Linked DNA regions of Mytilus edulis. The protein of the gene in region 2 purifies or fractionates together with the protein of the main gene of each other region. This does not show direct contact. Links are inferred from orthologs where the notes say so. Each region holds a gene or a part of one and is shown on either strand. Other genes may lie near its edges.

The links.
Region 1: the proteins of anaphase-promoting complex subunit 15-like (region 2) and anaphase-promoting complex subunit 7-like purify together in Homo sapiens (affinity purification with mass spectrometry; 3 studies listed by BioGRID and IntAct, with this or other methods). This does not show direct contact. The link is inferred for Mytilus edulis from reciprocal best matches to the Homo sapiens genes ANAPC15 and ANAPC7.

The regions. Positions count from the first base shown.
Region 1 is NC_092349.1:56,633,869-56,649,981, reverse strand, and holds the start of anaphase-promoting complex subunit 7-like, read right to left. Parts: upstream 8,187-16,113; 5' UTR 8,125-8,186; coding exon 8,059-8,124; intron 2,185-8,058; coding exon 2,056-2,184; intron 930-2,055; coding exon 840-929; intron 1-839. Other genes in the region: peptidyl-tRNA hydrolase 2, mitochondrial-like, read left to right, coding at 8,326-8,463. UniProt on the Homo sapiens protein: Component of the anaphase promoting complex/cyclosome (APC/C), a cell cycle-regulated E3 ubiquitin ligase that controls progression through mitosis and the G1 phase of the cell cycle.
Region 2 is NC_092351.1:36,926,326-36,942,932, forward strand, and holds the start of anaphase-promoting complex subunit 15-like, read right to left. Parts: upstream 6,823-16,607; 5' UTR 6,716-6,822; coding exon 6,596-6,715; intron 3,386-6,595; coding exon 3,326-3,385; intron 1-3,325. Other genes in the region: protein SDA1 homolog, read left to right, coding at 7,154-7,243. UniProt on the Homo sapiens protein: Component of the anaphase promoting complex/cyclosome (APC/C), a cell cycle-regulated E3 ubiquitin ligase that controls progression through mitosis and the G1 phase of the cell cycle.

The DNA.
Region 1 (16,113 bases), on a different chromosome or scaffold from region 2:
TTTTAATTATTGCGATTTCTGAAATTGCTGCATATAAATGATTCCATCAAATTTAAAATTCAATTCTTATTTAGTGAAACCTATCCCATTGCAATTTTTGCATTAATAAAAACATTGAAAAACAAATTCTGAATTGACACAAGTGCCACATGTGGAGCAGGATCTGCTTATCCTTCCAGAGCACATGAGATCACCCTCAGTTGTTGGTATGGTTTGTTTTGATCAGTCTTTAGTTTTCTATGTTTTTGTTTTATATACTGTTGTTTGTCTGTTTGTCTTTTTCTTTTTTTGCCATGGCATTGTCAGTTTATTTTTGATTTATGAGTTTGAATGTCCCTTTGGCATGTTTGGTATCTTGCACATCTATTTTACAGTACATGAGCAATATCAATAATATGCAGGTGAAGCACTTTCCTGGATCCATATTGAAATTTCCATTACAAATGTCTAGAGTTTTAAAAATGAACTGTTGAAATAAGCATCTTTTTTTTGTAAAATATTGAAAGGCTGACTATGCACTGGTTTTTTTTAACTAAAATTTTGATAAATGTGAAAAAGAAGGGTTTTATGTACAAAAATGTATAATCAGAAAAAAAATCAGAACGTTAAGAGTTCACATAAAATGATATATAAACACTGAGTACTTCTTCAGTAACTGCCAAAAAAGATAGAACCTGTTGTACTTAGGTGTGGTTACTAAAACCAGTTTTAAGTTGTAACAAAACTTTAAACTCTTCGTTTTAAAGATGTAAAATTTGTCATTTCATGTAACTGTATCAGAATGACAAACATCCCCATACTCTTATTAGTCATGTTAGTAGTAGGTGTATAAAAATTACTTGAGAAGGTTGGACAGGTGTGGTGGCTGTTATCTTCCCTTTACTCTTATTGAGTGCCTTCTTCAATAACAGAGCCTTTTTATAAATATTCTGAAAATAAATAAAACATCAATGTATATAAATTATATAAAGGGTATGCATAAGTTTATTAATTTCATATAGAATTTTTCACATGAACCAAACAAAACAAAAGTGTCCATTTATGCTATACATGGCCCTTTCTTTATAGCTTGCTGTTCGGTGTGAACCAAGGCTCTGTGTTGAAGGCAGTACTTTGACCTATAATGGTTTACTTTTACAAATTGTGACTTGGATGGAGAGTTGTCTAATTGGCACTCATACCACATCTTATATCTCTGCACCACAAATTGAATATTGTGCAAAAATAAAACACACAAGAAAGATTATGCCCAAGTCAAAATAGTCATAAACATTTCAATTTAACTAAAACACAATTACGTAAATTATATAAAGTATTGACAACTCATGTTGCCCACTCCAACATTGAACTGGTGAATAAATCATGCGGTTACACTCAATATTGATGGCCTTAGTCACCTGCAGTTGTATACATCCATGTCCTTTGGTCTTTGGTGGAAAGTTGTCTCATTGGCAATCATACCACATCTTATTTTCATATATAATATTCAGGGAGTTAGTTTATTGATTAACAAGTATTCATTACACAATGTCATACACTTATAATTACATTTGATGTATGTTTCATTATAATACTTTATTCTGATTGGCTAACTGCACATCACATGTTATTCCTTAAGCAATTGCATCATTCAATACAACTTTTCATTCATGATAACACGTGGTCCCACAATAAAGTGCACAGGTGAATTAAATAAAACAATTATAAAATTCGTGTTTTCATGATCATAGCTAAAAAATTTAATTATAAGTATTGAATGCTTCTTTTTTTAACTTCATAGGGTTGTAAAAGCGTTGACCGTGTGCAAATTTTTAGAATGAAGCGGAAGCGCTTCATACAAAATGTACTTTGGTCAACGCTTTTACACCCCAATGAATTTACAAAAACAAGCATTTAATTCTTAAATACAAATATTTTTTTATAATTAATAATTTCATCAACAGATTGAAATGTCAACATTCATGACATATATTTCAAGGAACATAATATACTGTCTGAGTTTTAATGAAGATCTGTATTGCTGTGTTTATGGAAACCATGGTAACAAAGACTCACCTCTGCCCTCAAAAATTCTCCTAGATGATACAGAGAGTTTCCATAGTAAACCATACACTGGTACCTCTGAGATAAGGAGAAAACTTCTGTGATTGGGTTGTTATCACACAGCGATATCACAATGCATGACTACAAAAAAAAATATATTTACAAAAAATCTCAATTTGAAATAAATATATAAGTCCTTTACACTTCATAGCTTGGTATAAAATTATGTGCGAGTACTGGTACAATGTATATATGATTACTAAGACGTAAGTTACAAAAAAAAAACAAAAAAAATTAGCAGACTACATGTACAAATGATGTACATGGTGTATGTTTTATCATCAACAATTGAAACCTTGCCCTTTAAAAACACATCATAGTCCGAGTTTGTTCAATATATTTCTGCATACAAATAATTGTAGGCCGAGTTTGTGATAGTCCGATTTTGTTTTAGTCCGAGTTATCCATCAGTGTCACAGGTAACGCCTGCCTCATATTAGCCTTTCAAGACATCATAATTATTTGGACTAGTGTTCATGTTGCTCAGTCTAATATCACATGTCTCATGTATAGTTGTTTTGTGGACTTATTTATCTTTTCATTGTTTTGGTATTTTGACAAATTTCTTCGACTGATGACAACAGTGTTCTCCCCAGGATTTTGTTAAGGCGCAAAATTCAAGGGCACGTAACTCTTTTTTTAGAGTGAACTTTTGTGATCTTAAGCAATTAGTCATAAATCATGACATGTCATATAAATTTTAATGCATTGTGTTAGGTGTTTAATAATGCAGAGTACTAATGAATTACAAGAATATATGAAATAAATTGATTTTAAACACAAAAGTTATTTATATTCAGTCAATTAAAGAAGTCAAAATATAAATATTCATCTATGTACTCTCTGCTCCTTCTAGGGTTATTGGTTTAAGATAGTGTTATTTTGTTGGACAATCTGTTCCTCAACATTGTCTTTATCCTCTTTAGGGTTGAAAAACCCCCTCTCATAATTTGCTTATACCCCCTTAAACATTTCTAAGCCATGAAAACTCAGTGAGCCACTTGTCACTGAAACCAGAAACATGGTGCTTGCTGTTATCACTTGCCATTACTTAAGCTCGGTTGGGATTGGGAGAAGCAATGCCATCTGCTTATAATACTGACGGTGTAGACAGAGCTGTATACGTATTCCCCTTTTCATTAGAAGTCATTGGTCTGAAAAACAAAACTTTTACTTCCATCATCTGCCTTTTGCTTAGAAGTCAGCCTTTGTTTTTTGCAGAGAACACGTTTATTCAGAATTATTAAAATCGAATATGGTTTAGATATTTGGTATACAACTTTTTAAATAAAAAAGTCTTTATTAAAATATTTTAATGAACAGCTGAACAGTTTCCGTAGTTTGACATTACGCTTCCGTGTGTATTATTGTTAAAACCTATCTTTGACAGGTAGATATAAACAGAGACATATGTGTATATATGTCTCTGATATAAACGAAACTTTACAAATTGGTTAAAGTTAAGACCATTGAAATTATTTACTTATGACATTAAACAGAAGATGCGGCGATTCTACCCATGTTGATTGGATTGTCACATATTTGTCACCAAGGTCCACTCGAGAGCACTGTTAGATAAGGGGGAGCTAACTCGTATGTGCTGGAACCAAGGGACAGGGGGTCAGTCTATCGCTAGACTTAATGTTCTGATAGGCATAGCTAAAACGCAAGGAAGGTTTTCATAATTTAATTAACGATAACGATTTAAATGAATGATAACAAATCAATCAATAAACAATGCCAAATAATAATAATCTAATTAAAGTACAAAGTATCAATTCAAAATAACAAATCCAAAGTAAAACTATTTCTCTTTAAAATGTAAAATATAAAATAAATGCCAAAATTACTAAATCATAAAATGTACTTAATCTCAATTTCAGAATGTAAAAGTCTCAAAATAAAAGTTTCTCAAAAGTATAATTTTCTAAAGTTAAATTATGAGTCTAGAGATAAATTTTGTCTCACACTACACAGTCAACTGGTAGACTGGTAGACAGTCTTATAGGGCCAGTATAATGACATGAGTAGTGTGAGGTTACGCTTCCGAAACACTGACTGCTTTTACAAAATTTCCCAACAATATTTATACTAAAATCCGAAATAACTCAACTTGTCCCGACATGTTAATAATACTCTCATTAGTAAAAATAGATGTTAATTAACAAAGCCTAATCCTATAATGTTTTGATAAAAATCTAAACTTTCAAAGTGACATATGCTAATTACAATTAATATTTCAAAATAAAGTGCTTTGAGCAAACTGTGACATTTTGAGTACTAATGACACAGCACAGGTAAAATTAAATAAACACATTAATTAAAATTTTACTAAATACAAACATAAAATTTTCTTTCTTAAAATAAAACATATTTTTTATCCAAAATAACACTAACACAAATGTAAGCCAAATAACACACCATGACATATTTCCCGACGGATGGATTCGCGATCGATGTTCAATGATAATTTTATTTCTAAAAACATGACAGTTTGAGACGATTTGAGCTTGTAATCAACATTTTTTCACTTTCTATTAATTTAAATCACTCCTCGTTATCTTTATTCCAAGTTTATTTTAATTTTTTCAACTACAAATACTCTCATTCATAATTTTCATCGTAAATATCTTTAGCAATGTGTATTCAAATTTATCACGTGTATTCAATACGTTCATTGGTCATGTATTTATAGATTCTTCTTCTCGACCAATGAAAATATTCGTTATTTAAATGATCAAGTAATCACACACACGATGTGTAAATACAATGCATTTGCGATCTATTTCTTCAATTTCTGCACTGAAGTTTTTAATTTTTTTAATTCTCTTCTGAAAATACAGATTTTCTTGATGATCATTTACGCTATTACATGATAACATAGTCCGATAAGGCTGAGATAAGCGTGGCTCAGGTAACACTAATTATCAGTTATTGCGCAACACTGACCGACCTCTCAGCGGTGATCAGCAACTTGACAATTTTAACCAACATTTATAATGAAAATGTGAAAATTAACATGCTGTGGGATCAAGTATTAAGGCATACCTGTCAACTCACCCGTTTTTTGCGGGTGACACCCGTTATTTTCACCTCTCACCCGGGAGTTTTTCTTTACCCGGCGGGTCCCGGGAATTTCTAACATTTCCCGTTTCACCCGGATTTCTGACCGGAATTGTTTCCGTTATTTAGAAGTAATGTGGCCTTCGGTTTTATCGGTCTTTTTCAATGTAACCAAAAGTCAAAATGTAGGACTGTTTACCTGAGCTGTGAAATAGCTTCAGGTTATTCCTGTGGAAAAACTAAAACCACCCAAATAGTAAAGAGGGCCCTTTCAGTTGAAAATAACAAAGTGGTAGTTGAAAACAAGCCAAGATTTTTTGTTTTGTCAAAACTTGCTAAAACATTACTGGTTTTGCCAAACAGCAATGCAGACAGTGAGAGGGCATTTTCTTTGAATCCGGGTCCGTCCGCCCTGATTTTTGTTCGCCCTAGTTACTGTTCGCCCTAGTTCCGTTTCGCCCTGAGACCGTTCGCCCTGATACCTGTTCGCCCTGGGTATGTTCGCCCTGATTTATATTTTTTATTATAGTGTTGTGTTGTGTGTATTTAATTGAATATGTTGAAGTCAGTCTACAATTTCGCCGAATATTTACGATTTTTATTTTTTTTATAGTGTTGTGTTGTGGGTTTTTAAGTGAATATGTTGAAGTCAGTCTACAATTTCGCCGAATATTTAAATGTAAAACAACTGAAGACTAAATTATTTGTATGTAATGGCATATGTTGAAGACTGTTTACATTCACCGAATATTTATTTATGATGTATTACGTGTTGCTGCTTTTGGGAAATAAGTGTCTCGGAATTTCAGCACTACATTGTATTTTTAAATGTACTAAGTTATTATGTTGTCTTGCTGCTACGAGGATAAGTTTCTGTGATTTCAAAGACTACAAAGTATTTGACATGAAACAACTAAAGACTAAGTTATTTATATATTTAACTTTATTGATACATTTTAACAATATAAAAATATTCAGTAACAGTTATAACAAGATCGATCAATTCCGAACTGCACTTCGCACACCTCCTCTGGTGCTGGCTCAACTATTGGCTCTGGTGCTGGCCAGTTGATCTGTTCACATGGTGTGCAAATGAACTGTAGGTCATTGCCATGTCTGGCGTCTTTGTAAGCTTGAAAAGTTATACCTAAAATTCAAATTATATATTATAAATATATTCACATGTGAACAATATAAACATCAATATAAAATTACATTGATATTTTTTATATATATAAATCTACTTGTACTAGAACATAATACTAAATATGAGAAAACATTCATACTAACGTAGTTATATAGATATATATTTGACTTTTTTTATCTTAATATAGTTACTTTAGTTCATTAATTATATATATGGGTATATACTGAAGGCCGTACATTGACCTATAATGGTTTACTTTTATAAAATGCTATTTGGATGGAGTTGTCTCATTGGCACTCACACCACATCTTCCTATATCTAGATATATATATTCTTGTTTAATTCCTGATGAAAGTTGCAACAAAATTTAATATTTATAAATTAAAACACTTACCAGTGCCACACAATCTATGCTACCATTTCTCACATACGTCACATGATGCTGCATGTTGACGAGGTCGGACCTCTCTGTCACAAGAAATACACATGTACACTTCCATAGTTTATGGAATAATGCACCGGTTCCATAATCCACTTCCATATATAACAAATTTGTCAAAACACACTTGAGATCAAAGAAGCCAAGCTGCGAAAATAATTTCCCTTTCATGCCTAACAATTTGTACATCAGTGTTTCTACCCATCCAAGCTGACTATTTTATTTGAGAAAAATTGTATTTTCATTATTAATCCATCAAAGACAATTCATATAACAATCAGTGATATCAAAGATTTCAAATTATACCTAATCAGCAATCAAAATTCAATCAACAGTAATTAAAAGTAATTCTAAAATAAAGTGTAACAATGCAGCCACGAATTTTATTTAATTAATATTCTGTATTCAGCTTTAATAGATAAACATAAATTTTAATATATATAAATATACATTTCTTTTATAATGAAACATATTACATATAACATATACATATCATTTATAGATAAACATAAATTTTAATATATATAAATATACATTTCTTTTATTAATGAAACATATAACATATACATATCATTTATGAGAATAGGGCGAACGAACTCAGGGCGAACGGAATACCAGGGCGAACAAACTCAGTGCGAACGAACCTAGGGCGAACATGTAATCAGGGCGAACGATCCCGATACCATTTTCTTTAGTAAAGAAAATAGCTACAGAGTGTAGGGCTGATCTTAATAAGGATACACTGTGTGCTCTTCTTTCTTGTAAAATGAATACACATTTGCATTGCTATGAACTGAAACCAAGTGCAGTTCTTTTAAAGAATGCCAAGTCTGCTACTATGGAATATAACAATAGTCTGAAATAAACTTGTATACATGTTCTAACTGTTTCATATACATATTGACTATATAAATTATATGTAAACATATTTTTGTTCTTCAATTGAGCCCGCAAAATGTCGTACGCGTTATGACCTGAGATTTTTTTTCTCATTGGAGGTCATGACCTGACTTTTCATTTTCAGAGGTTGACAGGTATGATTAAGGGACAGCGGCCAATTAAGACGCTGCAGGATCTACGAAAATATTATGAAGGCGATGCGGCACCTGGGGAGAACACTGGACAATTGAAAACAGGCATTTGTTTCTATCAATGGGAAGGTCGAATATCAAAATAAATTATATACAATGTATCTTCGCATTGTCATTTTCATAGATACTGATAGAAACATGTTCCTGTGTTTAACGGCATTATTGGCCTTGTTAAGGGTGATACAATTTTATCATAGTTTTCTAAATAAACGTACAAGCTGCTTAAGATCATGAAATAGCTCAGATTCGTGCAAAAACCGCACATGATCAAAAAGATTCATTTTCCTCCACTATTTATTTTTACTACTTCCTTCTTTCGGGTTTCTCTAATTTATCTTCGATTGCGATGGGAAAAGTCCGCATGTTCCGAGGGAAACACGATCTCAATCACTTTAGTGTTTATTACAGTCATATTTTTACTTGAAACTAGAGGAAAAAGGTAACATTGAGCAAAATAAATGTGCTGAAAATAAATAGCAAAAATGACATCATTTTTCAGTAAAGAGCAAACAGGATATGTTGCTGTAGGAATAGGAGTCGGTCTTGTCATTGGATGGTTTCTTAAAGGACGTCTCCGACCTAAATTAGCTGTTTTATCATCTAAAAATGGTTTAAATGAAGTAATTTCAAGTAAACTCTATACTTTCGGGGTTGTTCACATAATAATTTAGAAGTCTAGTCTGGGAATAATATGAGGCAGGCGTTACCTGAGAAAGGGGACAAAGTCCGTATCAATTATTTTTTTAATTTCAATATATTTTAATGTTAAAAAAGAAACGGAAATACCGTAATGTTTCCGTTGTTGGTCCTTTTTAGTTATGATGTCATTTTCAATGTAAACAAAGAAACCCTATCATCAGGTAATATGAGGCAGGCATTACCTGTGAAAGGGGACGAAATCTGTATGAATTATTTTTTTAATTCAAACATATTTTAACTTCAAAATCTGTTAAACATGTTAAAAAAGAAGCGGAAATACCGAATGTTTCTGATTTTGGTCCTGTTAGGGATTTCAGTTGTGACGTCATTTACATTTTTAATGTAAACAAAGAAACGCTATCATCTTCTGGTTTACAGAATGGTGTGAAAGGAGGTGATGTAGTTGGCAAATATTTTCTTGAGTAGACTTGATTAATTTTGATGGGGCTTGACAAGCAAATGATAAGGGATTCCAAGGTGACAAAAATCTGCTTCAGACTCAGAATCCCATAAGGAATTATCCTAGGTCCAGTTAAGACAACATTAAAAAATCTTACTATATGATAATGAGTTTGTTTATTTAAAGGATCACTATAAGTTTAACACACTGGCTATGATTACGTTGAAACGTACATGTAATGTTAATAAAAAAGTTATAGTTATGTTGGACATCTAAATGCAGAAATGCTATTTTGGGTTAGGAACCAATTAACTATGAGCGTACCAATAATAATTGTGTCTACAGCTATGTTGCGTTATTGTTTCGTTAGATTTATTAAACAGTCAAGGGTCTAACTTAAATAAGTTAATAGAGAAAAATAACAAGCATGTGTTATTACAGACACTTTCATGAGTTGTCTACTCTTTTTTCCTTAAAGGGAAACTTCGCAAAAAAATCAAAAATTGATATTATGTTCATTCTGTATAAAAATGTTCAAATTCATAGATATTAAAGTTTTATTCCGCTAGATAAGCGATCACCATCGATTTTAAATTTAGAGTATCAATTCTCCGAGATCCGCCATCTTGTCTTCTTTCCCGATGAATAAAAACGATATGTCTATAAACCACAAAGAAACAAAACTACAGTAACCGATGTAGTCGTAATTGCGTGTCGATATCTTGTCAATCGTACGGTTGTTTAATACGACTAACTAACTTGATACGGAAAATATTCTTACTGTTTTTAAATTACCATGGTCTGTTGTTTTTAAACTGTTGATATTGGAATTAGGTGAAAAGTCAAAGTTGAAATCATAAATAAGTGTTCCGTGAAAATTGTTTTCGAAAATCTAATTTGTTCATAATTCTTTAAAGTAATAAACTTTTTTCAAATATATTTTGATCTTCCCTTATCTGATCACCAGCATGGCTAAAGGTATTACTTCCAAAGGTATTGTGAGGGGTGTGAGGTGACACGTCCAGGTATTCAAGCGATTTCCTGTCGGGCTTGCAAGTTCATGCATCGTTTCACTTCTGCAGGTATTGATCAGTGTACACGGCTGATAACTTATAACTTATAACTTTCCATTTTGAACTATCAGATGTATAATATACAACTCTGTCTTACTTGTCATTACTAAACTCATACGCTTGTTTATAAATAACATTTCTGGTGTAAAGAATATAATTCATAATATATAAATAATACCCAAAAAATAAGATTTGATGAAATTAAAATCTATTTAAATATTTTTTCCAAGGGTGAATTTGGGAAAATGTAATATATAGTCATTGTCAATAGTGAAGGACAGATTGGAACAGACCAGAAATATTGATTTAAAAAAATGTACGCACTTGCCGACGATTCGTTTATACGACTGGATATAAAGTTACGGAACTATAGCGCAATTTAAAATATATACGTGTATACATTGAACATAAGAAAAAAACATATATTTTGAATAAATAGGGGTAAAAGTGTTGTAAATAGACTAGCCAACGTATGCCAACAGTATGTAATCATCGAATGTCGATAGACTACAGTTGTATACCAAAAGAAGAAGAGAACCAATTTGATTTAAATACAGGTCGATGTATAACTTTTGCTTTGGTTCATTGAAGCTGTGGACCTAGGAAAATCACAGATTTATATTTCAATAAGATTGTTCTCAAACAAAGGAAGGAATTCGTCATCACAATTGTTATATATGCCACTGGACGAACACTAATTATCCCCAGGGGATGTGAATATTTTGCTGGGAAACTTTAGAGTATCAAAGTTTCAAATTAATTTAGGGATTTATTTTCTTTCTTGGTATTCAATAACCGAAAAAAGAATAAATTACTTGTTCGCTAAATAGGGATATTCTTGTCAGATAAAAGAATTTTAGTTATATTTAAAAAATAGGGAAATATGACATTAAATTGGTTCTGTCTTTTTTTAAACATCGTTAAAACGATGTGTGTCTAAGGTGAACGCCACAAGAACCCTGTAATACTAGTACGAGAGTATAGCATGTAAACATTCTTTCTCAATAATATGGTTGTATTGGAAAACTTTTCATACAGATTGACAACTCATTGTCCGATATGCATGTAATATTTGCCACATGACGCCCATAGTTCTTTCTACCATCATCACCTTATTCCTTGATATTGCTGTAAACATCGATGGTTCACACCCAAACAAAATGGGAGTAATGAACCTTCAGAGCTTCTCTGTGTTATACACTTGTGAAATATATAGACGAAATTTCTGTATTGAAATGAATCTACATCTCACAAACAGGATTTTCAAATAACGATTTTGAGTAATCACCTTACAAACCAATATAAACGTATGGCAAGATATAACCATGAAGGAATTTAGTTTTTGAAAAATGACGCTTTCAGCGGCATGTTTCTATACTAGTGAACTGAACTTCCATTACATTTCTCTGCCTACCGCGCTTGGTTCGTATTTACTTTCCATTACATTTCTCCGTCTACCGCTCTTGGTTTCGTATCTACTTTTTACATTTAAACTGGAATTTGCTTTTATTATGATTTTTGTGTAGTAATCAACCGGGAACCAGTTTGCATACCTCCGGTCCTTCTTATTACCAAAAAGATGGAAGTGTACCAACCAATGTTGTTAAGATACTCATAAATCTATTTTTATAACTTTATTGATTATGTGAAGTAAAACTAAAACATTGTTAAAACATTAAAAATCTATAATTAATCGGGGAAAACTTGATAGTCTTTTCTTTTTACAAACCACTGCCTTTTTTATAAGAAAATATAATGTGTCTTCTTCTTCTTCTTCCAGGTAAGGAACCGGATTCATTGCTGAATGTTAATGGTTCCGCGCGAAAACTTTACGCAGTGTCGGGCAACACAGAAAGATTTCTCTTGGCTATTTACAAATTACATTGTCCCTGTTGGTCCACTTTCTATTGGAAATAAGTACCGGAAATCCTACTCAATCTTTGTTTACAAAGTTACAACAGTAGAGTCTGTAACAGACTGTATCTGTATGACATGTGCATTGACATGTGCATAAATTGTCGATATCGATGCTGGCTTTAATACAACGGTTTTATTGGCGGGGTGGGATCGTTCGCCCTGATCGGTGCGATCACTGTCTTACGGAATTCTAGTCAAATCGGCACCTGGTCAATTCGGCACCCGGTATAGTCAAATCGGCATCTAGTCAAATTGGCACCTGGTTAAACCGGCACTTGATATAGTCAATTCGGCACCCATGTAAGATTTGTTTAATATATATTTTAACAGTATTTTAAGCAAAAACAGTAAAAATAAGGAATGGGTTGTCCAGAAATTTTACAGTATTTACCCAAGAAAAGGTAGATAAGGAAGGGGGTTTGATAGAAATATTAACCTAATTTTATCATGTTTATTCACATTTTTAAAGGTTGAATTATTTATATTTATTATTGGATGCCTAATTGGCTTTAAATAGGTGCCGATTTGACTAGATGTCGATTTAACCAGGTGCCCATTTGACTTGTACCATATTATTAAGGCCCTAAAGTGAGTTTGAATATTGTACGGTGTTTTACTTGGCGGAATGTCAATACACTCACAGTAAGAGTTATTCTTTGCTTGCTTTTCCACAATAATTGTTTCGTGGTATTCTTTGAATTCCTCGGCAGTTATGGTTCTCTTCGGACATGTTTTTAAGAGGAATTCGTCTGGTTCAATAGCGCGAATCAGCCCCTCAACTTCTTTGTACATAAATACTAACTTTGGCTTGAACGTTTTGTTCGTTCTTGTTGTAGTTCCAGTTTGGCAAATATTTTGGAGACTTATCCATCCTCTTTTGACTTGTAATCTCTGGTGATAAATATTGCTGCTTGACATGTTTATTTTTGTTACCGGGTAGGGGTCGCATACGATGGCTCCATATTAAATTATAAGATCAATTCCTAAAGGTCTAGTTCATTATCCAATCTGACACAAATTTCAATAACTGGAATGCCACCCAAGTTGAATATATGGTGACCCACTGTAACAGCACAATTACTTGGGATTGTGTTTAATACCATGATGGTTCAATGGCATAAACTTAAATGGAGACAAAATTTAACATGAAAGATTGTGGATTAGTGTAAAATAAAAAAAAACTAGCTTACTATAATATATGGTTAAAGAATGAATATCAAATTATATGGGTCATGGGCAGAGTTGTTATAAAATATCAATATGGCAGAGAAGTGGTTTCAAGTTTCATATAAAGGGACCTGACTGACATGAAATGAAAAAATCAAAGGAGTATCCCTTTTTGTCTAATCTTCAATGTGAAATAAAACAAGTATAACAATATTGTGTAAATCTACAGAAATAGAATTTGCTTCAAGTAACAGAAATAACTACTTTTGTGTATGTCACTAATAACTTATTTAATGAGTATGTGGGTAATTAGTCCTATAACATATGACCTCAGGAGCATTATTTACTATTTCTATTTACTGTTCTGATAATATTTTTTTTACTATCAATGTGTCACACTTCGCATTCAAAAAAAAATAAAAAAATGAAAATATCAGTATAAAAACGTTAAAAATTGAAGAAGAATGTGAAGTCATATGTTTATAGGACTAGTGGGGTATAAGAGCTTATTACAACAGGCTCTTCATAATCATTTGGTTTGAAAGGATGCTAGTAATCTGTATTCTTGAATTAGAAAAATGTAATTGAAAGAAAAAAAAAATACACATTAATTAGAATACTTTAGATCATTCAGGTAGTCTTTATTTAGTACGTACAACAGAACAGCAAGTAGTCATTGGATATTGTAGATCATATAAATAGTCTTGACCTATTTATTAGTACAAAAGAACAGCTAGTAATCATTGGACACTGTAGATCTTTCAGGTAGTCTTGACCTATTTATTTGTACCAAAAAAACATGCCAGTAGTCATTGGATACTGTAGATCATTTAGGTAGTCTTGACTCTTGACCTATTCATTTGTATTAAAAAAAAAACCAGTCAGTTGTCATCTTCACTTCACACACTCATATACGAATATCAATTATATTCTTACGAGACATGTTGCAATGTTCAACTTATTACGGTATGTGAAAATCAAGACTTGCATAAAAAATATCCCAATATTAGAGGCAGTGGCGTCATTTTTCCTCAGAGCTTTCAGCTCTTTGATTGTCAGAACTCATCACTATATCATAAACGTATACGTATATATATGCATACAGTTTCAAATATCAAGAACAAGCGTTCGATGTCGATAGTCTGTTCTCTAACTGTTCAGAGTTAGACATGTCACTTGTTCATTCTTGGAAGCCTTCATATTCCCCGTCTAACGATGGGAACTCTTTCTGATTGTGTTGAATATAAATGCTTGTATGGTAATTCTGTCGTTTATCTGTACAAGCGGTTGCATTTCCTCTCCTTTCCCAACAAACAAACGAACGAAACGCAACTAGTCTGATTTCTCTGGAGCTCATCCTCAATGGCTCTTATACGTCAGGAAACTTACATGTATACTAATAATGATTGTTTCATGAACAACGATGTATGAACGAACTATTATAAATTCGTCAATATCTGTAATGCATGACTAAAGTATTACTTTTATTACAACTACTGTATTACTTATTTGGATTAATGACGGCTATCATGTTCAACATTGCACAACTATTATCATAGAATTTTTAAAAAAATCCTCAAAAATCCTCAAAAGATATAATGCCTTAGCGTAGATAATTAGTATTCTTTTCACAAAAAGTTCGTGTAAATGATTGTCAAATGAATTTAATTATGTAAGAATAAAATGTTAAAAAGAAACTAAAAAAAAATTATGCATGTTGTATGTTGTATTTTTTTGTCAATTAAAAACTTTAAAATTGCAATAGTTTTATTAGCATTTAAACACAGCCAGATTTGAATACAAGTTAAGAAATTCCGGTAAAGTCAATGATATCAAACAGATGTACAATGGTATATCAAATTGGGTAATATTGCATTTAGTTTTTATTAAAGATTAAAACTACTATTTTTTGCTTCATATTTGAATCTTTACGCCAATTGCCGCTAAGAAAGTAATCAAAAATTGTTTCCTTTTATTTTTATACACTTTCGGAATTACGAATCTGAATTTTATTTTCAATTAATTTACACAATTTAATTATTGTATCTTTATTCTCATCGTGTATTTAATCTTAGTGTATTAACATCATGACAGCATATACTCTAATCCTTTCTATTTATCCTTTCCAAATAATAACATTTATACCTGTGTACGCTTGAACTCACACCTGCGGCTAAATAGCTACAAGGTAAACGAATTGACCTCAAGCCGAGAAATATACAGTGACCTTTACAAAATAATATACACACTCTGCTCACACATTACTTGCATTGAAATGATTATCAAAACAATAACGGTAAATAGAACTGAAATATTTTCAGTTCAATATCAGTAAAAATGTTCAATAAATATTTTATGAAAAAAATCTCAACAATGATTAATTAAATTTATTCAAAAACATTTACTAGAGATAATTTTATAGGAGTTTAATTCAATCAATACAAAACGGTATATATATGCATATTCACTTTCGTTCATTCTTATATTGTGGTTTATAACTTCGACCATTCGTCAGCTGTGCGCTTTTAATTACGTATATTGTCGATAAGCTATAAGAGTTAAACAGATTTTATTTTTTCCCAGAATTCAATAAATCGGGCTAATACGTCACGACCCACTCGAGAATTCAACCAAAAAAGTTACAAATACTTGATTTTCTCCGTTATTAGAAGGAATATAAATTTAAAACTTTGCAAATGTGTTTTTTATGTTAAGATGAACATAATTAGATGATAAGTAAAAAATCGCGGAATTTCCCTTTAATCTGTAATAACATACGTTTGTTATCAGTTAAATATATCATAAATATTTTATCTTTTGTGGGCACTTGGGAATACATGAAACTTTGCGCAGTGGCTTAATATATTACCTTGATAACTAATTTTCTAATTCCATTAATTCAATTTTGATCAACCATAGTAAATCAATGAGACAAGGCTTTTAAGGGAAAATTAATCTGTAATAACAAGGCTTAGTTATTACAGGCATGTAACTTATTATATGAGAATAAATGA
Region 2 (16,607 bases):
CCGTCGTCGTCCGTCGTCGTTAACTTTTACAAAAATCTTCTCCTCTGAAACTACTGGGCCAAATTAAACCAAACTTGGCCACAATCATCATTGGGGTATCTAGTTTAAACTAGAGGCTCTAAAGAGCCTGTGTCGCTCACCTTGGTCTATGTGCATATTTAACAAAGGACACAAATGGATTCATGACAAAATTGTATTTTGGTGATGGTGATGTGTTTGAAGTTCTTACTTTACTGAACATTCTTGCTTCTTACAATTATATCTATAATGAACTTTGCCCATTAGTAACAGAGAAAAATATTTGGTAAAAATTTACATAAATTTACCAAATTAATGAAAATTGTTAAAAATTGACTATAAAGGGCAATAACTCCTTAAGGGGTCAATTGACCATTTAGGTCATGTGGACTTATTTGTAGATCTTACTTTGATGAACATTATCGCTGTTTACAGTTTATCGCTATCTATAATAGTATTCAAGATAATAACCAAAAACAGCAAAATTTCTTTAAAAATTACCAATTGGAGGGCAGCAACCCAACAACAGGTTGTCCAATTCATTTGAATATTTCAGGGCAGATATATATTGACTTGATTAACAATTAAACTCCTTGTCAGATTTCCTCTAAATGATTTGGTTTCAGAGTTGTAAGCAAAAAACTACATTTTACCCCTGTTCTATTTTTAGCCGTGGTGGCCATCTTGGTTGGATGGCCAGGTCATCGGACACATTTTTCAAACAAGGTACCTTAAAGATGATTGTGGCCAAGTTTGAATTAATTTGGCCCAGTAGTTTCAGAGGAGAAGATTTTTGTAAAAGATAACTAAGATTTACGAAAAATGGTTAAAAATTGACTATAAAGGGCAATAACTCCTAAAGGGGTCAACTGACCATTTCCGTCATGTTGACTTATTTGTAAATCTTACTTTGCTGAACATTATTGCTGTTTACAGTTTATCTCTATCTATAATAATATTCAAGATAATAACCAAAAACGGCAAAATTTCCTCAAAATTACCAATTCAGGGGCAGCAACCCAACAACAGGTTGACCGATTCATCTGAAAATTTCAGGGCAGATAGATCTTGACCTGATAAACAATTTTACCCCACATCAGATTTGCTCTAAATGCTTTGGTTTTTGAGTTATAAGCCAAAAACTGCATTTTACCCCTATGTTCTATTTTTAGCCGTGGCGGCCATCTTGGTTGGTTGACCGGGTCACGCCACACATTTTTTAAACTAGATACCCCAAAGATGATTGTGGCCAAGTTTGGATTAATTTGGCCCAGTAGTTTCAGAGGAGAAGATTTTTGTAAAAGATTACTTAGATTTATGAAAAATGGTTAAAAATTGACTATAAAGGGCAATAACTCCTAAAGGGGTCAACTGACCATTTCGGTCATGTTGACTTACTTGTAAATCTAACTTTGCCAAACATTATTGCTGTTTACAGCTTATCTCTATCTATAATAATATTCAAGATAATAACCAAAAACAGCAAAATTTCCTCAAAATGACCAATTCAGGGGCAGCAACCCAACAACGGGTTGACCGATTCATCTGAAAATTTCAGGGCAGATAGATCTTGACCTGATAAACATATTTACCCCATGTCAGATTTGCTCTAAATGCTTTGGTTTTTGAGTTATAAGCCAAAAACTGCATTTTACCCCTATGTTCTATTTTTAGCCGTGGCGGCCATCTTGGTTGGTTGACCGGGTCACGCCACACATTTTTTAAACTAGATACCCCAATGATGATTTTGGTCAAGTTTGGTTAAATTTGGCCCAGTAGTTTCAGAGGAGAAGATTTTTGTAAAAGTTAACGACGACGGACGACGGACGACGATGGACGATAGAGGACGACGACGGACGCCGGACGCAAAGTGATGGGAATAGCTCACTTGGCCCTTCGGGCCAGGTGAGCTAAAAATGTGTGGCGTGACCCGGCCAACCAACCAAGATGGCCGCCATGGCTAAAAATAGAACATAGGGGTAAAATGCAGTTTTCAGCTTATAACTCAAAAACCAAAGCATTTAGAGCAAATCTGACGGGGGTAAAATTGTTTATCAGGTCAAGATCTATCTGCCCTGAAATTTTCAGATGAATCCGACAACCCGTTGTTGGGTTGCTGCCGCTGAATTGGTAATTTTAGGGAATTTTTGCTGTTTTTGGTTATTATCTTGAATATTATTATAGATAGAGATAAACTGTAAACAGCAATAATGTTCAGCAAAGTAAGATTTACAAATAAGTCAACATGACCGAAATGGTCAGTTGACCCCTTTAGGAGTTATTGCCCTTTATAGCCAATTTTTAACCATTTTTCGTAAATCTTAGTAATCTTTTACAATAATCTTCTCCTCTGAAACTACTGGGCCAAGTTCATTATAGATAGAGATAATTGTAAGCAGCAAGAATGTTCAGTAAAGTAAGATGTACAAACACATCACCATCACCAAAACAAAATTTTGTCATGAATCCATCGGTGTCCTTTGTTTAATATTCACATAGACCAAGGTGAGCGACACAGGCTCTTTAGAGCCTCTAGTTTCATATACTTACCATATAAATTTATCAATATCATGAATATTGTGACTGTTCCTGTATCCTTCAATATTAGTTGGGATACAAATTTTATGAAAACATATATCCATAAAATTCAAGTTTTCCAAAATTGGTACTCACTTAAATTATAAATGTAGTCAGTATTGTGTTAACATGGTTCATGGTTGTTTATTATTTTTGAAAGCAACGCCTGTTATTCCTCGTTTTACCCTGTAATGGCTGTATGTTAGTAGAAAACTGTGTTACAATAGTTTAATGACACATGCCTACATTTTGTGTATCAATTTATTTGTGTATCAAAGCAGGTCTTAACTAAACTATGAATCAGATGTCAGAAATACATTTGGTATTGTGAGGACAGGTAGGAGAGTGTGCTTTCACTGCTATTTATTATGGTAACTTGAGCAATTTAATTGTTTTCATTAGGAAGAAGATTCATTGCATTTACCCAATGTAAAAACAACTTTGTAAACCAATATGTTTGCAATAAATGCAAAAAATTTGCAGAAAAAAGTCTCAAATTTGTAACATGTACATGATGTAGGAAAATGTTAGCCTCTGTATTTAATTATTCATTGGCGGATCCAGGGGGGTTCCGGGATTGGAACCTGCCCCTGAATTATTAACTAAAATGAAAACAGCACTTCCCCTTTACGCTTGACTGGTGATTTAGAAAAAGATTCATATGATCAATTTCATATTTTTTTACATTGTAATCTATTACCATGATTACTTTAGAATATAGAAAACATACCTCTGATGCTGTTTTTCCAATAGGAACAATATTGCTGTCTTTCTTTGCAATGCTTTCCATCTAAAAAAATATTTATAGCAAAGTCAAAATTATTGCATGAATTTTCTGCAAATTAAACTCTTTATCATGGATTTCAGCACTGCCATCATGACAAACTTGTGTCGTGATTAAGAATAAGTACATACAGAACAAATATTGGCTACAAATTTTAAGCCATTGCCAAAATCTTAACTTCAATCCCTGGACTTACATCTAGAATTGACACAGAGGATCTGTTGAGAACAAAATATACAACAGAAGAGATGATTTCAGCTTTCAATTTGTGAACTTTTCATCTCTATCTGGCTGGGAACATGCTAGCTGTGCCTGTATTAAGATTACACATGGTTATATAACTCAGTTGATTTCTTGATAGAGGGTTTATGCTTATAAGGATCTATTTGACCACAGGTTCTAGGTTTTATTGTAGCCATCATGTGTTAGTTGACCATTATGAAATATCAGTTTCAGAGATAACAACAGTTAATGTGTTCAAATATTGTTAGGGCCACAAACTCGACCACTTTTCCTGGAATGTTTAATCACTGTCATTGCTGAGTTTTAGAATTATCCCATAACTTGAACTTACATGAGTCACATGTGGTGTACCTGAGTTCACTCTAGTCCAAATAATTATGAAGTCTTGAAAGGCTATTATAAATTTATTTCTTTGACTTTTTGGTCATGTTGACTTATTTGTAAATCTAACTTTGCTGAACATTATTGCTGTTTACAGTTTATCTCTATCTATAATAATATTCAAGATAATAACCAAAAACAGCAAAAAATCTCTAAAATTACCAATTCAGGAGCAGCAACCCAACAACGGGTTGTCGGATTCATCTGAAAATTTGAGGACAGAAAGATCTTGACCTGATAAACAATTTAATCCCATATCACATTTGCTCTAAATGCTTTAATTTTTGAGTTATAAGCCAAAAAATGCATTTTACCCAATTGTTCTATTTTTAGCCATGGCGGCCATCTTGGTTGGTTGGCCAGGTCACGCCACATATTATTTTAACTAGATACCCCAAAGATGATTGTGGCCAAGTTTGGATTAATTTGGCCCAGTAGTTTTAGAGGAGAAGATTTTTGTAAAAGATTTCTAAGATTTATGAAAAATGGTTAAAAATTGACTATAAAGGTCAATTACTCCTAAAGGGGTCAACTGACCATTTTGGTCATGTTGACTTATTTGTAAATCTAACTTTGCTGAACATTATTGCTGTTTACAGTTTATCTCTATCTATAATAATATTCAAGATAATAACCAAAAACAGCAAAAAATCTCTAAAATTACCCATTCAGGGGCACCAACCCAACAACGGGTTGTCGGATTCATCTGAAAATTTGAGGACAGAAAGATCTTGACCTGATAAACAATTTTACCCCATGTCACATTTGCTCTAAAGGCTTTAATTTTTGAGTTATAAGCCAAAAAATACATTTTACCCCTATGTTCTATTTTTAGCCATGGCGGCCATCTTGGTTGGTTGGCCGGGTCACGCCACACATTTTTTTAACCAGATACCCCAATAATGATTGTGGCCAAGTTTGGTTTAATTTGGCCCAGTAGTTTCAGAGGAGAAGATTTTTGTAAAAGTTAACGACGATGACGATGGACGACGGACGCCAAGCCAGGTGAGCTAAAAACAATATTGAAAAAGTACAAAGTAGGGCAGCATGCTACGTCACCAACAGGAACCACAACACCAGTAGTGTCACTTCCATGATTGACCATCTTCAACGGAAGTCACTTGAAACTCGCAGAAACATCAATCGAGTAACTATGCTGTACAAAATCTCACACCATCTCATTGCAGTAGACCCTTACCTTTACCTTTTACCACAGCCAGTCAAAAACACCAGATACATGTACACTAATTATTACAATACCAAACATTTAGCACTAGAACAGATTACTTCAACATGTTCAAGTAAAGCTTTTTCCATTCACAGTTGTACTGTGGAACTCACTTCCACAAAACGTCATCAGTGTTACCCTGGATCAGTTTAAAATACTGATCCAGAGTCAGTATATTTAGATATCCAACCTGTTTGTAAATATGTAAATGTGTTAATTTTTGTTTTGTTTTTGCACAAAATTATTTCTGAATTATTGCACTCATTAGTTATTATATTTGATTATTAAAGTATCTGTTTGCGATGCACAGACGTTTAGTCATCAATGTGCTGATGGATCGTCGTAAGATGAAGATGTAGATAACAGCCCTGCTAAGTACACCCCTGTTTTTTTCTATAGGGATTTGTGTTGCTTAGTGACGTCTATTTTTTTATATTGTGTTTCGTAGGTTGATGTTTTCCCAGTTTGTCTGTCATTATTTGGCTGTTAGTATCTTACATATCTTTCTTACTTTTACAATAAATCCAATACAAATTGAAAACAATTAACCAGTCAGGGGACTTACTTAAATAAGTGATTTTATAAATCACTGATTCAAGTAACATTATTTCCATAAAGGTTGGAAGTCAGAGTTGTCTTTCTTTAATAATCACCTATTTAAGTAGTACAAATTAATCACTAGAAGAAGTGATTTAATTTTATTGTAGCTTTAAATATAGAATACTAATGAGCCAGGGACTAATTATGTTTCTAAACTTATCAGAACCAACATCTGTGTTGTCTAGGATGACCAGGTCATTTCAGGTGATGACCTTGTACTGAATCTAGGATAATGACATAAAAATCACTTGTTTAAGTATCAGACCTCAATTTCCTTCCCAAAAATCACTTCTTTAAGTATCATTCTTGTAATAACCCCCTCTAATTTCAACACCCCCGAACAGTGAAATTTTTATCACGAACAGTAGAATTTAATTACATAATCTGAAAGATGAAACCTTGAACTTCACAGGAAAAATACTCCCACTGCTGGGAAAAATCTTCTAAGAAAGTATCAGTTCATTATGTAAAGCCATTATTATAGCATTTTTTTCAACAAAAATAGAATTTTAAGCTAAATGATAGCATCAAAGGCATAAACCTTGCTACTTAAAAGAAAGAAAAAGTTTGTTTTTTTCAATTTTACTAATCAAAAGATATTATTTAAACCTATGTGTTTAAAATTTTGAAAAAAATACAAAATTCCAATTTGTGACAAAACCTCGAATTTGCTACTCAAATAAGTGATTTAAAAATCACTTATTTCAGTAAGTCCCCTGACTGTTAACTGTTGGTGAGCAAAAAAAATATAAATGAAAATTTACCCATGAAGTATGTTCTTCTTCCAGTTTTGAAATTTCTTCTTCGTCATCGCATGGTTTATCAACGGTAAACCACAAAGGATCTGAAGCACTTGGTACAAGTGAAGGGAAAAACGATGACATACTACCAGTATCTGAGAACTAGCACCAGTTTTGTAAAAAAAAAATTCTAAACATTTAATTCAGGGTAGAAAAAAAACTTGTAATTTCAAACAAATTGTTCGTTATCTGAAGCACTTTTGTGATCCAGACTTTTAAAATCTAAAATCCACAAAAATATAAAGCAAAACGGTCTTAATAAAAAATTTCAATATCATTTTTTGGGAATTGTAAATCACATTGTATAAATAAAATCAATACTAATTTTTGTCTCAAATACTTAATAAAAAAATCTATACCAATACGTTATGACGAAAATGTAAAATTGAGAATGGAAATGGAGAATATGAATATTTCATTCCTGTGTAGTGTTCTTAAAACTTCATTAATGGTTCTTAGTTGGTGCAGTCATTGATATTTCCGGTTTAAAGAGACACACGTGGTTGATGTAAACAGAACAGAATGTCTGACAGAAATCACAACAAACTGCCAAACAATCTCCCTCAGCTACAAAACTTGATAAAACGTGATCCAAATTCATACAGAGAAGAGGTTATTTTACATTGTTAAATCCATTTACAACATTTTACCATTTAAATACCTTTGTATTGACTATTTCAACCTGTCGGCTACATAATTTTTTGATATCATTAAAGTGTAGAAGTGCATCCACAGCCATAGGCACGTGTTTCTGTCCATATGGGAAGGTCGACTATCCATAGCTTCTAATATTAGGCAGGTGTTACCTTAGTCCAATTAATTATGACGTCTTGGAAGGCTAGCTATTTTTAATTTTTGCTTTGACGCCTTCCTGTGAAAGGGAACGAAGTCCATATCATCAATTTTTTTAATGTTAAAAAAGAAACGGAAAAAGTCTAATGTTTCCGATTTTGGTCCTGTTGTTAGGAATACCTAAAGTCTCAAGACAAACAAACGAGACCGGAAGAAACAAAATTAATGATTATAACATGTTTAAGTTCATTTATAGTCGCTGTCACATAAAATTGGCACCATGTTTTTTGTCAAAATTTTCTTAAAGGGAAATTCCGCGATTTTTTACTTATCATCTAATTATGTTCATCTTAACATAAAAAACACATTTGCAAAGTTTTAAATTTACATTCCTTCTAATAACGGAGAAAATCAAGTATTTGTAACTGTTTTGGTTGAATTCTCGAGTGGGTCGTGACGTATTAGCCCGATTTATTGAATTCTGGGAAAAAATAAAATCTGTTTAACTCTTATAGCTTATCGACAATATACGTAATTAAAAGCGCACAACTGACGAATGGTCGTAGTTATTAACCACAATATAAGAATGAACGAAAATGAATATGCATATACCGTTTTGTTTTGATTGAATTAAACTCCTATAAAATTATCTCTAGTAAATGTGTTTGAATAAATTTAATTAATTATTGTTGAGATTTTTTTCATATAATATTTATTGAACATTTTTACTGATATTGGAGTGAAAATATTTCAGTTCTATTTACCGTTATTGTTTTGATAATCATTTCAATGCAACTAATGTGTGAGCAGAGTGTGTATATTATTTTGTAAAGGTCACTGTATATTTCTCGGCTTGAGGTCAATTCGTTTACCTTGTAGCTATTTAGCCACAGGTGTGAGTTCAAGTGTACACAGGTATAAATGTTGTTATTTGGAAAGGATAAGCAGAAAGGATTAGAAAGAGTATGCTGTCACGATGTTAATACACTAAGATTTAATACACGATGAGAATAAAGATACAATAATTAAATTGTGTAAATTAATTGAAAATAAAATTCAGATTCGTAATTCCGAAAGAGTATAAAAATAAAAGGAAACAATTTTTCATTACTTTCTTAGCGGTAATTGGCGTAAAGATTCAAATATGAAGCAAACAATAGTAGTTTTAATCTTTAATAAAAACTAAATGCAATATTACCCAATTTGATATACCATTGTAGATCTGTTTGATATCATTGACTTTACCGGAATTTCTTAACTTGTATTCAAATCTGGCTGTGTTTAAATGCTAATAAAACTATTGCAATTTTAAAGTTTTTAATTGACAAAAAAATACAACTACAACATGCATTTTTAGTTTCTTTTTAACATTTTATTCTTACATAATTAAATTCATTTGACAATCATTTACACGAACTTTTTGTGAAAAGAATACCAATTATCTAAGCTAAGGCACTATTTCTTTTGAGGATTTTTGAGGGGTTTTTTTTTAAATTCTATGATAATATTTGTGCAATGTTGAACATGATAGCCGTCATTAATCCAAATAAGTAATACAGTAGTTGTAATAAAAGTTATATTTTAGTCATGCATAACTGATATTGACGAATTTAGAATAGTTCGTCCATACATCGTTGTTCTTGAAACAATCATTATTAGTATACATGTAAGTTTCCTGACGTATAAGAGCCATTCAGGATGAGCTCCAGAGAAAGCAGACTAGTAGCGTTTCGTTCGTTTGTTTGTTGGGAAAGGAGAGGAAATGCAACCGCTTGTACAGATAAACGACAGAATTACCATACAAGCATTTATAATCAACACAATCAGAAAGAGTTCCCATCGTTAGACGGGGAATATGAAGGCTTCCAAGAATGAACAAGTGACATGTCTAACTCTGAACAGTTAGAAAACGGACTATCGACATCGACCGCTTGTTCTTGATATTTGAAACTGTATGCATATATATACGTATATGTTTATGATATAGTGATGAGTTCTTGCGTCTGACAAAAACTAAATCCCTTCATGGTTATATCTTGCCATACGTTTATATTGGTTTGTAAGGTGATTACTCAAAATCGTTATTTGAAAATCCTGTTTGTGAGATGTAGATTCTTTTCAATACAGAAATTTCGTCTCAGATATATTTCACAAGTGTATAACACGGAGAAGTTCTGAAGGTCCATTACTCCCACTTTTTTTGGGTGTGAACCATCGATGTTTACAGCAATATCAAAGAATAAGATGGTGATGGTAGAAAGAACTATGGGCGTCATGTGGCAAATATTACATGCATATCGGACAATGAGTTGTCAATCTGTATGAAAAGATTTCCAATACAACCATATTATTGAGAAGGAATGTTTACATGCTATACTCTCGTACTAGTATTACAGGGTTCTTGTGGCGTTCACCTTAGACACACATCTCAGTGTTTTCACGATGTTTAAAAAAAGGACAGAACCAATTTAATGTCATATTTCCCTATTTTTTAAATATAACTAAAAGTCTTTTATCTGACAAGAATACCCCTATTTAGCGGACAAGTAATTTATTTATTTTTCTGTTATTGAATACCAAGAAAGAAAATAAATCCCGAAAATAATTTGAAACTTTGATACTCTAAAGTTTCCCAGCAAAATATTCACATCCCCTGGGGATATTTAGTGTTCGTCCAGTGGCATATATAACAATTGTGATGACGAATTCCTTCCTTTGTTCATGAACAATCTTATTGAAATATAAATCTGTGATTTTACTAGGTCCACAGCTTCAATGAACCAAAGCAAAAGTTATACATCGACCTGAATTTAAATCAAATTGGTTCTCTTCTTCTTCTGGTATACAATAGTCTATCGACATTCGATGATTACATACTGTTGGCATACGTGGACTAGTCTTTTTACAACACTTTTACCCCTATTTATTCAAAATATATGTTTTTTTCTTATGTTCAATGTATACAAACTATATATTTTAAATTGCGCTATAGTTCCGTAACTTTCTATCCAGTCGTATAAACGAATCGTCGGCAAGTGCGTACATTTTTTTAAATCAATATTTCTGGTTTGTTCCAATCTGTCCTTCACTATTGACAATGAGTATTTATTACATTTTCCCAAATTCACCCTTGGAAAAAATATTTAAATAGATTTTAATTTCATCAAATCTTATTTTTTGGATATTATTTATATTTTTATGAATAATATTCTTTACACCAGAAATGTTATTTATAAACAAGCGTATGAGTTTAGTAATGACAAGTAAGACAGAGTTGTATATTATCTATACTATTAAACGAGAAGACCTCATTTTGTGTGTCGCTTCTCTTCCTTCCAAGATAAATTAATCATCATGCCTCTGTGTTCTATAGGTAACATGCATAGTCGCATTTGTCATCCATTCTTATGATTATTCAGATTGAGTTATTTTGGGAGAAAAACGACAAAAAAGGAGTCCGGATATTGATTCCGTCATCAGATTGACTTTTAGTCACAGATAAGACTTCCGGTTTGAATCATGCACAAGTACAACCAATCGTATGATAGATAAAAAAAAATGAAAAATAAATAAGCCAATCAGAGTGTTTTCCATATCATGGTGTTTAGATCGCGAGAACCACAACTATTATACCTCCTTAGAGTGGACAATTATTTTTCGAGTTTATCTACATATAAACTACGATTATACGACTTACATATATATATAGAGACTCTCTGTATTCTGTCTACTGTTTTCTTTGAAATGTTTACTATTTAAAGGGTCACGCCAGTTGCATATATACTAAGATAAGTAAAACATGGGGAAACAAAAATGTGTCCATATAGTACACGGATGCAACATCGGCACTCTATTTTCTAAGTTTCGAGTTGATTGGACTTCAACTTCATCAAAAACTACCTCGATTAAAAACTTTAACCTGAAGCGGGACAGAAGGACGGACTAACGAACGAAGAAACCCACGGATGCACAGACTAGAAAACATAATGCCTATAAATGGGCATAACAGTTTATTGTTGGAAGCGAAAGTAATAGTGATTTGGCAAAAATGAAAGTAGGGTAGAGATGAGAGCTCGAGGGAGGCAGGACCGTGACCTTTTTTCAGGACGTCGGGATCGGGTGTTTTTAAGTTCGGGATTTGGGGATTGACCCTTACGGGATCCGGGAATATATTTTTCGATTTCGGGATTTCGAATATGAATTTCCTTAAATTCTGTATCTCGGGATTTCATGATTTTAATCCCGGGATTTCTGGATCAGAACCCCTCCGACACTCCCTCAAATTAGCCTTAGATGGTTTTAGTCATTTATACAAGATTCATATCCTACCATTGGCATGTTAATAAGGCTCTCAAAAGAAAAAAAACACTGATGGATTGTCCTAGAAGTATATTTTATTAGACTAATAATGGTCCATATATAAGCAGTTACATTTATTTCATGTTTGAAGCGGTGCAAATTTTTTAATTTAATTTGACTTTTACCAAAAGATGCGTTGTAGCAAAGGAGAAGAATAATTGTGGTCTGAGGCCAGAAACAGGAAAATAATTAAATTTAACAGAAAGGAAACAAATATCGGACTTTGGAAAAAAAAGGAGAGGGCTTTTGATACCTTTTATGAAATTCCCCATACATACATGTAGTATCTTTTACAAAAAATCATCCAACAACATTTCTCAAGCTGTATATGCCCGCGATTTCGCGGGTGTGTTCTAGTACATCTGATAGTTCAAAATGGAAAGTTATAAGTTATAAGTTATCAGCCGTGTACACTGATTAATACCTGCAGAAGTGAAACGATGCATGAACTTGCAAGCCCGACAGGAAATCGCTTGAATACCTGGACGTGTCACCTCACACCCCTCACAATACCTTTGGAAGTAATACCTTTAGCCATGCTGGTGATCAGATGAGGGAAGATCAAAATATATTTGAAAAAAGTTTATTACTTTAAAGAATTATGAACAAATTAGATTTTCGAAAACAATTTTCACGGAACACTTATTTATGATTTCAACTTTGACTTTTCACCTAATTCCAATATCAACAGTTTAAAAACAACAGACCATGGTAATTTAAAAAAAATAAGAATATTTTCCGTATCAAGTTAGTTAGTCGGATAAAACAACCGTACGATTGACAAGATATCGACACGCAATTACGACTACATCGGTTACTGTAGTTTTGTTTCTTTGTGGTTTATAGACATATCGTTTTTATTAATCGGGAAAGAACACAAAATGGCTGACCGCTGAGAATTGATACTCTAAATTTAAAATCGATGGTGATAGCTTATCTAGCGGAATAAAACTTTAATATCTATGAATTTGAGCATTTTTATACAGAATGAACATAATATCAATTTTTGATTTTTTTGCGAAGTTTCCCTTTAAAGTCATAAGAAACCTCAAATTAAAAAAAATAATGCATATGTTTTTTTATAACTCATTGGATAGTTTTCATTATAAAACTTATGTACATATACTTTTTTCTGAAGAAAATTCTTTAATTTATTCATATTTAGAAGAAGTTTACTTTAATTTAATTGCTTGCTTCCAGGACGCAATTCCCCCGATATATTTTCCGTATGCAAAGTGACCTCAGTGTGACCCATCTCGTAAAAATCCGGTGATCACAATACCCATGAATGTCCTTAAAATAAACTATTATACGAATTTACATGTTAAACACGTGCTCAATTTCCATGCTTTTTTGTTGATTTTTTGTCGATTGTTGACAAACAGGTGACAATCGTTAAACTTCGGCTTCAAAACACGAACTTTAATTACCTGCCATATTTTCACAACACTGACCGATTGAAATAAAAAAATTGACTATTATACGAAATTTACAAGAAGAAAATCATAAATTCGTGCACAGAAGACTAAGTTTATGATGTTTGTATGCATTGGTTCAAGAATTGGAAGAACATTGTTTTTCACCGGTCACTCGTTTCTTATGACTTTAAATATCGACCGCGTTTACTAAAGATCATGTTTTTCAATTAGCGGAATAAAAATCCGGTCCAAATATCTACTACTGTCCTACCTTTTATTGTGTTTGCACTGTATAATTCTGACCTTCACATAATTCAAGATTATTATGTATGGTGGAATCCGACATTGTTATTACCGGAAGTGTTGCCGTGGAGTTCCACATGCTCTCCATTTTCTTGTGTCTCTCGGAGCTTTTCGTCATCTTTATGTAAAAAAGCGCGGGAAATTGTATCATCAATGACAATGATATTACCGGAGAGTAACGAATGTTATGGAATAAGGGATCCTCATAGAAACCAAGATGGCGGTTTTTACACTGTAAATAATGTTGAAAAATGTGAAGGTCAGGATTATACAGTGCAAACACAATAAAAGGTAGGACAGTAGTGGATATTTGGACAGGATTTTTATTCCGCTAATTGAAAAACATGATCTTTAGTAAACGCGGTCGATATTTAAACTTTTTTTTACTAAAAACATGGTGCCAATTTTACGTGACGGCGACTATAGTATATATTGGAAATTAACATGTTTAAGTTCATTTAGTATATTGATAATTATATATATATATACACAGGGATCTCCATGGCCTGTTTAACGATGGAGCCCCGCCATCGTTCAAATGTCTTGCGCCATCGTCAAATGACTCGCGCCATCGTTAAATTGTCTTGCGCCATCGTTAAATTGTCTTCCGCCATCGTTCAAAACTTCATCGTTTTTTGTAGCCCGACGCCATTTTTTTTATCAATTATAATCAAATGCATGTAATTGCATAACCCTTAGGCTTTTTATGTTATAATCCAATACAGTTCTAACGCCTGAGGGATATCCGGATTAAGATCGCTAATTACTTATACCTGAGCTTGTACAGGTAGATCAACAAACCAAACAGGAGAATACTATCTGAGGATAGACGAACCATTTGTCGAAGTAATCAACTAAGTTTCAGCAAATGATTATGATCATTTAGATTAAATAAATAAATTAATAAATTAATCCAGTTACAAAGAAAACAGTTTAACAAGTCGAACACGTGCTTTCTTTTGACTTACGCAATCAGCATCCCCCTTTTTTAAGAAGTACAAAATAAGACGCAAAACAGTAAATATTATTTCATCGTAAATAACTCGAGTACTGCTGTAACGATAATTTAGAATTACTTTAAAAGTTTAAAAGTAAAAACTTATATATTTCCTGTAAAGAAATATCGTATCTAAATTCTGAATTCATTTCGTATATTACAATCAAATTGATACATCTGCGTTTCCGGTTTCTATTCAGACTCGAAAGATGCATGTTGCACAGCATCAATTTTTCCAGATAGTCATTAAAAACCTTTTCATTTGTCGACGTTTGCTTTACAAATCTCTTTAACCTTTTACATAACCCGTACGAATTGTTTTGTTGTTGCTGCAAATCAGCCATACCGGTAATGGGCTCTGAATTTGACAGTGTCCACGAAAAATAAGCTCCACATTAGATGATTTTTAACCCCCATAACAATTACCAAAAATAAAAGAAATCTGCATGGGGACCTTCATGACAGCTTTTGGTCATTCTCGACTAAGGGGGGGGCCATGATGACTTGGCATTTGAATGGTTAAAAACGGCAATAAATGAAAATATTGATACTTCTAATTCTATAATGAAAATTCAAATAAATATAATTTAAATAAGCAATGAATTAGCATTTTCACCATTCCTTGTATGGAGGGATAAAATACTTCCGATCGCGCTACACTGTACAGCGCAGACAAGGTTTGTAATGGTGAAAGTTCCTCCATGGTTCAATTTTCATCCATGGAGATCCCTGTATACATATTTTTTTTATTGATTTTTCACATGTTGTAGGGGACGAAGTCAAATATACAAAAATAGTTGAACTTCCAATGGATAGAAACAAGTGTCTGTGTGTACATCAGTGTCATCACACGATAAACTCACAGGGGTGTGTAGCATAGATGTTTTGGGGCAGAAATAACCTTGAAGTAGATCATTCTAACTCTAAAGAAAACCAATCTGGTTAACTAATATTGCTTGACCTTTTTCATGTTTGTCTGATAGTAAGAGTAGTTAATGAATATTTGATAACAGAAAAATTCTCAAGGGTACTTTTAAAAGCTTTAGAGCACTAACTTACTGCCCAAGTGCACTGGTGAAATTAATATTCAAAGAAAAGGGATAATTGATTTATGTAGGAAAATTATAGTAAAGTTTGTGAAAATTTGGAAAATCAATGAAATTAGCATTTGAAGATCAAAGAAAACACATAATCAATGTAATCAGTGATAATGAGGTTAATAAATTGAGATAAATGAAACGTTAAAATATAAAGAAAATAAACTAAAACAAGAATGTGTCCATAGTATACGGATGCCCCACTCACACTATCATTTCCTATGTTCAGTGGACTGTGAAATTGGAGTAAAAAAATCTAATTTTGACTTTTAAATTAAAAAGATCGTATCATAGGGAACCTAAAGTTGTACTTAGTTTAAGTTGATTTGACTTCAACTTCATCAAATAAAATTGAGAATGGAAAAACTACCTTGACCAAAAACTTCAACCCAAAATTTTAACCTGAAACTCCCACTATCATTTTCTATGTTCAGTGGACCGTTAATTTAGGATCAAAAATTTAATTTGGCATTAAAACTAAAAAGATCATATCAAAGGGAACATGTATACTAAGTAAACATGCTTTCTAATTTTAATGCCAAATTAGAAATTTTATCCCATGATAATGATAGTGCGGATGGGGCATCCATGTACTTGGGACACATTCTTATTTTTATCTGAGAAAATGAGACTTTTTCATTTGAGCTGGAGAAAAAAAACTAAATTTTTTTGATAAATTATATTCACTTCAACATGTTCAAGATCTATACAAAAATGTAACCTCAGAATGCAGGATTTTAAATCTAATTTTCCAAAATTTTCTTTTGTGTCGCTTTGCAACATTCACCGGTGATAGTAATGGTGAAACATTAAGGGCCTGTAAAATTTCTTGTGGGCTTTTAGAATTTGAAAACCAAAAGCCCACCTGGCCTGTGCCTTGAAATTTATAGTGTGAAGACTGAGAGTGAAAGGGAACAAAACAGTAAAGTCACAATTACAATTACATCTTCAAACAATAGGAAAATACTCTATTTTTTTCAGCATGGGTAAAGTTTAATTTGTGATATTTT